Linked DNA regions of Sus scrofa. The protein of the gene in region 1 binds, or shares a complex with, the protein of each later gene. Links are inferred from orthologs where the notes say so. Each region holds a gene or a part of one and is shown on either strand. Other genes may lie near its edges.

Evidence for each region.
Region 2: ACTL6B (region 1) and DPF3 share a complex: the UniProt entries of both Homo sapiens proteins name them as parts of the BAF complex. The link is inferred for Sus scrofa from reciprocal best matches to the Homo sapiens genes ACTL6B and DPF3.
Region 3: ACTL6B (region 1) and SMARCB1 share a complex: the UniProt entries of both Homo sapiens proteins name them as parts of the BAF complex. The link is inferred for Sus scrofa from reciprocal best matches to the Homo sapiens genes ACTL6B and SMARCB1.

Annotation. Positions count from the first base shown.
Region 1 is NC_010445.4:8,553,759-8,556,462, reverse strand, and holds the end of ACTL6B (actin-like protein 6B), read left to right. Parts: intron 1-1,803; coding exon 1,804-1,920; 3' UTR 1,921-2,141; downstream 2,142-2,704. UniProt on the Homo sapiens protein: Involved in transcriptional activation and repression of select genes by chromatin remodeling (alteration of DNA-nucleosome topology).
Region 2 is NC_010449.5:96,251,901-96,255,500, reverse strand, and holds the start of DPF3 (zinc finger protein DPF3), read left to right. Parts: upstream 1-1,146; 5' UTR 1,147-1,210; coding exon 1,211-1,242; intron 1,243-1,395; exon of another isoform or gene 1,396-1,965; intron 1,966-2,577; exon of another isoform or gene 2,578-2,663; intron 2,664-3,600. UniProt on the Homo sapiens protein: Belongs to the neuron-specific chromatin remodeling complex (nBAF complex).
Region 3 is NC_010456.5:49,874,993-49,878,719, reverse strand, and holds part of SMARCB1 (SWI/SNF-related matrix-associated actin-dependent regulator of chromatin subfamily B member 1), read left to right. Parts: intron 1-731; exon of another isoform or gene 732-2,931; coding exon 2,932-3,063; intron 3,064-3,391; coding exon 3,392-3,431; 3' UTR 3,432-3,727.

The DNA.
Region 1 (2,704 bases):
CTCCATATGTCGTGGGAGCAGCCCAAAGAAATAGCAAAAAGACAAAAAAAAAAAAAAGAATATATCATATTTGGGGAGCTCTCATTGTGGCTCAGCAGGTTAAGACTCTGACTAGTTCATTATTAAATAAAAAAAATAAAAGACTCTGACTAGTACCCATGAGGATAGTATGCCACAAGCTGCTGCATAGGTCACACATGTGGCTCGGATCTCATTGCTATGGCTGTAGTGTAGGCTGGCAGCTGCAGCTCCAGTTTGACCCCTAGCCTGGGAACTTACATATGCTGCAGGAGCTGCTCTAAAAAGAAAAAGTATATATATATATATATTGTATTTGGAGTTCTCCTACTGGCTCAGTGGATTAAGGATCTGGTATCGTCACTGCTGTGGCTTGGGTCAGGGCTATGGTGCAGGTTCAACCCCTGGCCTGAGAACTTCTGCATGCCACAGGCATGCCCCCCCCAAATATATATATATATATATATATATAGTATTGAATCCAATACATCAAAAATATAATTTAAATATCATCAATATAAAAATGGAGGTGCCTTACATTCTTTTTTCTGGACTTAGTCTTCCATATCTGGTGCGTATTTGACAGGACTAGCCACACTTCGAGTGCTCGGTAGCTCAATTTCAAGTGTTCAGTGTGGCAAGGGACCCCTGGGTTTGGACAGGGCAACTGTGGAAGGTGAGAAAGGTCAAAGAAGCAGGTTTGGGGCAGGCGTGGGTGAAGATGGTGAATGCAGCTGTGGACATGTCCAGGGTGAGGTCCCTTGGGACACTAAGGAGGAGGTGTCCAAAAGACATCTGAGTATTAGGGTCTGGAGCTCAGCATGGAGATCCAAACTGGGAACCAGAGATGGTGGGAAGGGTGGAGCTTTGGCACAGGAGCAGGAGCAAACCCTAGCAGATGACATGGTCCAGGAAGGCGTGTTCTTTGAGCCACAGGACAGAAGCAGAGCCACACACACACACACACACACACACACACACACACACACACACACACACACTTGCAGGCAGAGGCAGAGAAACCATGAAAGAGTGGGTACAGCCTGAAATGCCCAGGACAGAAGCAGAGCCACACACACACACACACACACACACACACACACACACACACACACACACACACACACACACACACACACACTTGCAGGCAGAGGCAGAGAAACCATGAAAGAGTGGGTACAGCCTGAAATGCCCAGGACAGAAGCAGAGCCACACACACACACACACACACACACACACACACACACACACACACACACACACACTTGCAGGCAGAGGCAGAGAAACCATGAAAGAGTGGGTACAGCCTGAAATGCCCAGGACCAGAGACTCTCAAGGAGCAGGTTTCAAGGGGGGCGGGGGCCACTTGGGAGTAAAGACAGCCCCATCCTGATGTTAGGTGATGTCCATTGGTGAGGCGCGTGGAGAGAAGATTTTCTTGGGAAGTAGGGAGACTTGACATGTTTGTTAGGCCCTATAGGGTACCTGGAGAAGAAGAGGTATGGAGCGTTGGCCACTGGCCAGGGTCTGTAAGCACCACCTCCCAGCTGGGAAACAGCTATTGAACAGGTGCTCAGTAGATGCTTGTTGAATGAATGAATCCTGGATTGAACGACAGGCAGCGGGTGTTCGCCCTCTGACTACGAAGGGGTGGACTGGAAGATGGGGCAGGCTGGTGGTCGCGGGAGGGATGTGGGATTGAGAGGCAGGGAGGCCCGGAGGAGGGTTCCGGGGCGTCGAGCCTGCACGCGTGGAGTGTGGGGAGGCGCTTCTCTCTTCCTTCAGGGCCTCCCTGACCGCCAGTGTCGTCCCCCGACCCAGGGCACTTTCCAGCAAATGTGGATCTCCAAGCAGGAATATGAGGAGGGCGGGAAGCAGTGCGTGGAGCGGAAGTGCCCCTGAGGGCGCCCCCTCCTCACCCACAGGCCTGCCTGCAGCAGTGGGGGAGGGGACGCGAAAGGAAGGAGAGGGTTAACCCCCGCCCCCGTTCTTCCCGCCCCCCCCCCCGCCTCCCCGCCTCGGCACCGCAAGCTCCCAACGCTCCCACCGCCCCCTTTTCTTCCCCTTCCCGCTCGTCCTCTTAGATTGCGTTGTCGAACGGAGTAAAAACGTTTTAAGAAAAAGGAAGTTTGGCCTCTTTAGGGGTGGGCAGTGGGGTCAGGGTTCTGGAGGGAGAAGAGGGGAGGGCCACACCTAAATCCGCGGTGTGGCATCGCACGGTGGACGCCAGGGCAAGGTCTGAGGGCGGGGGCAGTGCGGCAGGAGCCACGAACGCCTCAGGTTTCAAAGGGGCCGCAATCCAGGGAGGATCGCGCAGCGAGAACCGGGTAGAGCCCCTCAATGAAATCCCCAGCGAGGAGCAAGAGTCGGGGCTGGAAATGGGAGTTGGCGAAGGGGATGCGGCGTCAGGGGCGGGACGGAACCGAGGGCCCGGCCCAGGGGCGGGGCCTGCGCGAGGGGTGGGGCTTGGGGTGGGCCGGGCTTCGGGCCTCAGGAGAGGCTGCACCTAAGCACCCCAGGACCGACAGCTCAGGTGAGCCGACCGACCGCTGTCTTTTCCCAGGGCGTTATAGGCAGTGAGAAGAGTGGGGAGGGGACAGAGGCACAGTGCGCCCCAGCAGCTGAGAACTTCTCTCCCAACTTGGGTAGGCACTGAGGTTTCCCAGGGAGACCCCTGACATCCGGG
Region 2 (3,600 bases), on another chromosome or scaffold:
GATTTCTGTATGCTAACGAGGCCCCTATTCATGATTTAGTGCGATTTCATCCACCCTGAGCTGCCTGGCTCCTCAGTGGAAGCCTGGCTTCACAGAAGTCTCTCAGTTTTGTCAGGGCTTCGCCAGTGAGGAGTTCGCACGGACTTGAAGCAGACACATTCTCTGAACGCCTCAGGTCACATCTGATTATTCATTAGCAAATTCTTTTCACCTTTTTATCTAATCAATGAAAGGTGACGCCGGAATCGCGTATGCTACTCCCCGAAAGGGACTCTGGCAACACCCATCTAGGTTCCACAACTTTGTCTCGTTACTCTTTCCGAAGAGCAGAAAGCGTTTGCAAAAGTTCTCTTAAACCACCCCTCCCCTAAGCCTAAAGGTCAGAGCGCCAGGCCCCAGTTGGCTCTCCAGCTCTCTGACCATTTAATTTCCGAAGTTTCTGGTTTGTGCGAGGACAGAGGAGGTGGCAGTGGGCAATTGCCTGAGTGACCACCGCGTATTAAGTAAGGAAAGCCTGGCTGCTGGAGGGAACGAGCCTGACATTGAGACATTCCAGGGGGAGGGGAGTTGCTGTCCTGGAGTCGCCAGGAACGGCGGCACCAGTTCCAAGAAATCAGAGGAAGGTGGCCGAGATAAAGACAACACTTCAGGAATGAGAATATTAAAAAGCCGCAGGACCCAGAGCATTAGTAAGCGGCAGGACACGTGTAGTAATTAGACGAAACGGCACCCTTCCAATTTTTGCACTGGAACGAGGGGAATTGTCCTTTGGGGGATTAAAAACGTAACAGTAAAGCCAAAAGCTAATGAATAGGGTTCAACGGTTTGCTTGCAATACTTAAATATTTTCTGTCCAGGACTTAAATATTTCTGTCCAGGAGCGCAACTCTCTGCAGTTGTTTAGAAAGTAAGGATTCAAACCAAACTAGAATACTCTCGTGCGTCTCCACTTTCCCTCATCCGAAAAGGAGCTCTACGCGCGGTACTGCCCCTTTAAGACCTGCTTGCTCTCGGGCTCTACAAAAGGGAGTGACCTCTGGGCTTTGACAGCTCCCCTAATAACTACCACCGTGCAGGCCCCGCCCACCTGGCGACCAGCCGCGCCGATTGGCCAGCGGGCCGGTATCCCGTGCTCTGATTGGCTCGCCGCTTCCCCTGAGCGAACCTTTAGAACTCTGAGACAGACAATATTCTGTTACATTGTAGCAAAATGGCGACTGTCATTCACAACCCCCTGAAAGCGTAAGTAAGACTAAAAAATGTACATTTTCCTCGTGGTTTCAATATGAAAAAAAAGGCGCCTTCTGCGTGCCGAGCGCTGCCAATGCACTGCGCTTGCAGGCGCCTACAGCCGCGGTGGGGCTTCTCTCTTTTCTTTCAGCTCTTACTTCTTCATTTTTTTTTTTTTTTTAACCCGGGCGCGCAGAAATGTCAGGAGAGGCAATTAAGAAGAGGAAAATTGGTACATTTGTGTTCTTCTAAATTGGCGGACTGAGGGAGAGGGGTTACTGGCAGGGGAGCCAGGCGCTCGAGTGCTCTACAGCGAGGGGATCCTGGGCAGCTCAGGGACAGCACGGTCCCCAGAGTGCCCAGCTTCTCCGGGCGGTGAGCGCGGCGCGGGGGGCGGCTCAGCTGGGGGCGAGAGCCAGGCTGGGGCCGCCTGGGTGCACTTGGCTGAGCCCGGTGCTTCTGGAGCCCGCAGCCCCCGCCCCGATGCTAGGTCGGCGGGGGTGAGCGGACCGCTGCAGCTCCGGAGTTTTCAGGGCGCTCTCCGCCTTCTGATCGCTTGCGGGGAGTTTGTGCAAACCTTCCGGAGTTGGGAGGACCGCAGGGGGAGCACCGGGTCCCGGGAGCCCTGGGGCCCAGGTGGTTGCCCGGGGCTTTCCTGACGGGGCAGCCCCCAGAGCTTGACTGCGCTTCGGGCGGTCGCCGGTGTGTCTCCGGGTGTTGTTTGTGGGGAACTGCCTGTAATAAATTAACGACTCGGGTTAACTTGGGGTTGATTTGGAGACTGGGAAGCTGCAGGTCTTATGAATGGTGTTCTTGCCTCCTCTGGGTGAATAGTCGAGGCTGGCGAGAGGCAGCCTGGGGCTCCCCGCCCGAGCGGGTAGCGTCTGCTCTCGGCCAGAGCTAGGGGCAGGTGCCTCTGGCCACAGCCGGGAGACTTTGAACGGACGCCCAGATCCGGGACGGAGGGGGGGCGGGCTGGGCGAGGACACGCGGGGGCCAGTCCCCAGGTCCGACAGCCAATTCCTGCCCGCCTTCCTTCCCCCTCCTTTTTATCCTGGCTTCCTTCCTTCCTTCCAATCCGTGGAACTGTTAAGCCGCCAAGTCCGCTAGCGATCGCGGAGCCGGGGGTGGCTTCGGAAAACTAGCGTCGCTCTAAAAGGGGTGCTCTTGGCAGTAATGTTGGCAGAGGGGCACTCCCTCCGGATCGCAGCGCGACGTGGGTGGGGGCTTGCACCCCTGGGATTATGACTTCGCAGCTAGGCTGGAAGCCGCGGGCAAGGGGAGGGGGAGGTGCGGGGGAGGGCATTTCATGGCGAATTCTCTCGCCAGTGCCTGGAGGATGCCCACCTAGGTTCTTTCAACTCAGCGCATCCACGTTCGCACCCGAGGCTCCTCTTGGAGTTGAAAGCCACGTTCGCACTGGGGGAGGGGGGCGGCAGGGGAGTTCTTAACACGAAGGAACTCGCGGGGAGAATGGGACGTGTTTGCACCAGCTTATCTCCTATCGGTAGTAGGAGAAAAGGTTAGGAATGTCCCAGATCTTGGAGTTTTAAATGTATAAATATGTATTAACCCTAAGAGGACATTGGGAGCTGAGGCTGATTAGAGAGCAGCTCTCGGCTTCAGTTCTCGCTTGGAAGCTCTGATACACTACACTTGAACGCTACAGCGTTTCACCCAAGATAGAAAATGTTTTATGGCAGAATAAATGGGCGTAACTTCACCGCATCCTCTCTCCCGGTCCCTCGCGCTGCTACACCGCTGATGCTGTGAGTTTTTACCGAACCCACAGCTGATTTGCAGTTTTCACATTTCCAGCCCAAATCGCGTAGCCGAGCTGATGCCACCTGGTAAACTCAAGTTAGAGGATCTATTTCACATGTGTGCCAGGTTTGTTTCCTTTTGGGAAAGCAGTACCCTAGTTACCCCTGGGCCCGTTTATACGCTGGCGGGGGCAATATCTCTACGCTCTTTAGCTCTTTACTACCGGCTCCGGTTTTTTGTTTTTTGTTTTTGGACAGCAGAAGACTACATGTTTGGGGAGGGTATCTGTATAGGGTGGGGTTAGAAGTGGGGGAAGGGAGAGAGAAGCAGGCTGGTTATTGGAATTAGTTCTGAATTATTACACTTGTACTTTGTATAATTAGAAACAGTTGCAATGCCATGTATTTGTAATTTTGTGTCGTCACACACACCTACATCTTAGCATACCCTTGACATCCAGCCTGCTTTTTCTAGGTGGGAGTTGAGTGGTCATTTATAATTAGCTGCTCCTTTTTGCATCTTGACCCCTTTCCCTGGGGATAAGGAGGTATAAACAATACCCCTACCAGCCCAGCCTTCTGTGCCTTGGACGGCTTTTAAAGTTCT
Region 3 (3,727 bases), on another chromosome or scaffold:
GTAGCTGTGCCAGTGAGGGATGTGGCATTGTTGCTGTCACAGCCTCAGGCTTAAGAGGCACCAGGGTCCTTGTGAGATGGTTAACCAGGAGCCTCCAAAAGAGGTCACTCCTGGCCCAACCACAGGCTGGCTGGCTGGTTTTTGTATGCGCTTTATTGAAGCAGAATCCATCAACCCTTCAAATGACCCATCTAGAATGGGCGACTCTGGGGTTTTCTGGATGTTCACAGGGTTGTGCAGCCCTGGGCAACCTCCAGTCTGCTTCCTGTCAGTAGGTCTGCTTGCTCAGGACACTCAATATAAATAGAGTCATATAATGTATGATTTGGGGGCTGGCTTCTTAGCATAAATGTTTTCAAGGTTTGTCCATGTGGAGCCTGTATCAGAACTTCATTCCTTTTCATGGCTGAGTAATAGTCCATCATATAGTCAGGCCATGTTTTATTTACCTGGTTATCAGATGATGGGCACTTGGGTGGTTTCAACTTTTAGGCTGTAAATGATAGTGCTGCTGTGAACATTCATGCACAGGTTTTTGTTTGAACAGCTATTTTCAGTTCTCCTGGGCAGGTACCTAGGGGTGGAATTCCTGGGTCGTGTGGTCACGCTCTTTAGCATTTGGAGGAACTGCCCAACTGTTGTTCTCAAAGCAGCAGCACTGTTTTACATGCCCAGCCCCTGAGTGAGGGTTCCTGTTTCTCCACATCCTCGCTCACCTTTCTGACTTTTAGATCCTGGCCACCCTCGTGGGAGTGACATGGCGTGTCAGTGTGGTGTGGATCTGCATTTCCCTGACGGCTAATGATGTCGAGCATCTCATAATGGGCCGTTAACCATCTATGTATCTTCTTTGGAAAATAAGGCTATTCCAGTCCTTTGGTTTTTAGTTGGGCTCTAAGTTTGTTTATTATTGAGTTGTGGGAATTCATTATATATCCTCAATGCAAGTTCCATATCACATACTTGATTTGCAAATATCTTCTCCCATTTCATGGGTTGTTTATCACTTTCATGACTCTATCCTTTGAAGCACAAGTTTTTGGTTTTGATGATACTCAGTTTAATCATGTATTCTTCCATTGCTTGTGTTGCCTGGTCCAGGGTCTCACCCTAGCACCCTTTGCTGGAAAGACGGCCCTTCCCCCATTGAGTGGGCTTAGCTCCTTATCCAAAGTCAGTTTGCCATAAACAGGAGGGTGGTGTCGAGTCTTGTCACCTCCTAACTGGCCGCAGAGCTTGGGCAAGAGGCCCCTGCAGTCTCGTTCTCACCTATGAAGTAGGCACGGTGAACAGGCTCTTCAGCTGGTCCATCGCACCTCATGAGGTCATAAAAGTAAGATCACATTGAAGATGACCTCCCCGTTCTCTCCCAGCCACAGCCTCCCTGCTTGGACACCTTGGCTGGTAGGAATATCGGGGTCCCAGGTGCCTCGAGGCCCGGGGAGCAGAACCCCCTTGTAGGCTGGGCGGCTCTCTGCCCATGTGTCCCCCCATACCCATGGGGCCTGCTGGCTCAGGCCCGTCCTCTCATGCCTGGTCTGAACAGTTCTTACTTTAGAACAGACCCACTGGGGTGGAATACACTGGGGAAGTAAACACAGGGGCCTCCAGGCCCTTGTTTAAATTAAGAAGAAAACATATTTTGTTCCCCTCGGCGTGGCCTTGGCAACTTTCATGTCTGCTCTTCCTCGGAAGGCAGCTGGGAGCCCCGGAGGTGAGGAATGATGTTTGAGTCTGTGGCTGGGTGGTTTCTTGATCGCCAAACTGCTGCCTGGCTGGGGAACAGCTGTCAGGAGCTGCAGAGTAGGGCGGCCTGGCCCCTGGCCTCTGAGTTACAGCACAGGTTTGAGCCCTGGGCATTGTGGGCATGGACCCAACAGGCCACACTGTGGCAGCAAGAGGTGAGCCCTGCTCTGCGGGGGCAGGACAGCTCCGAGCTGTGTCCCAAGCACTCGAGGTCCCCAGGACCCCAGGCAGACTCTCCTCCAACCGTGGACACAGGAAGGCTGTGAGTGGGCCCCTGGCCCCAACATACACAGTGGGTATACATGGGATGTTTAGTAATCACAATCTTGTGAAATCCCTCACAGCAAGGACATCGTCCCCATTTTCCAGATGAGGTGTCAAAACCAAGGCCAAGGGCCATCATTCACTGCCCCCTCTCCCCCGCCACCGAGTTGACTCTGCAGGGCTCTGGGTGGGCCAACTCCTGATGGGCCTTCAAGGGGCCAAGCTACGGGGCACAGGCCAGGGTGGGAGAGGTCCAGGCTTGGGCAGCGCTGCAGGAGGGGGTGAGCCGGGGGGTTGGCTCTCTTGGCCCGTGATCTCTGGACCTCTTCACTTTTCACCACCCTGGGGTTCCGATCAGGGCGGCAGCTCAGCCAGGTGCCCTCCAGGCCTTTGTAGTGCCCCACCCCCAGCTAAATCCACTCACCAGAGGGTGTGCAGTGGCCTTTGGGTGGAGTCGGGGGACAGTTGCTAAGGGACCTAGGATGCAGTGGTCAGAGGTCATGGGTTTGGGCCCCTGTGAAGCAGGCTGAGGAGCTGGCCTCAGTGAGCAGCATCCAACCCCCCTGCAGACTCTGCTTTCCTCTTTCTCCTGGACACTGAGCGGGTAGGCCCCCCTCCTGCTCCCCACAGGTCCAGTGGTAATGGCTGGCCCTGCCACACTGTTCTGTGGACCCTGCCCTAGTCTTTGGCCTGGAGATACTATGGTGGCAGCAGAGTGCCTGCCGAGAGCCACTTCAAGGAGAAATCCACTGGGTGGTGGGCCAGCGGTATTGGTGCTGCGGAGGGAAGGGAAGGGCCAAGTGGCCCCAGTGGCTCTGCCCTGAGGTTCTGGTCCATGTGCTGGTGGGCGGGGGTGGATGGTGGTTTCTGGGGCCTCTCTGGCCGCTGCTCCATGATCTGCCTCCTTCCCACCTTCCACAGTGAGAACCCCCTGCCCACGGTGGAGATTGCCATCCGGAACACAGGCGATGCTGACCAGTGGTGCCCGCTGCTGGAGACCCTGACAGATGCCGAGATGGAAAAGAAGATCCGCGACCAGGACAGGAACACAAGGTGCCCCCCCAGCCCTCTTCCCAGGCAGCGCAGGACCATTGCCTTTCCTGAGACCTGGCAGGCCCCTGGGTGATGAGTCCCGATCTAGCCCTTCAGGGAATGAGTGAGCCCTCAGATGGGGCCTGACCTCATCCCAGACTGGGTTCCAGGACCCCTGGAGAGGTGGACAGGGCAGGGGGCAGCTTCAGGCCCCAAGCATCAGACAGGCCCAGGCAAGGGCAGGGGCTGGGCTCCCACCTGCCATGTCCTGTCTCCACCCCCCACCCCGGCTCCCCATGGGGTCGTGGGGACAGCATCTGCCCCAGGTCACTCTCTCTCCCCTCCGCAGGCGGATGAGGCGTCTGGCCAATACTGCTCCGGCCTGGTAACCACCCGGTGGTGCATGGCTCCCACGGAGCATGTGAAGATTGGACCGCCCACCTCTCCTGTCTTCTGGGAGGAGGGCATGAGGAGAGGCAGCCCGGCTGCCTGAGGAGCATGGGGTAGGGGCCTCTCAGTCGCCCCCCACCCACCCCCGGGTACACATTCCGTTTGCTGAGCCCCAGTCCCCGCTGCCCGTCTCTGGTCAGGAAGAGGCCTTGTTTTGGGTTGTGTTTTGTTTTTGTATAGGAACCCCAGGCAGGGCAAGCAACACTTTTTAAATAAAAGGCAACAAGTCCTGTTC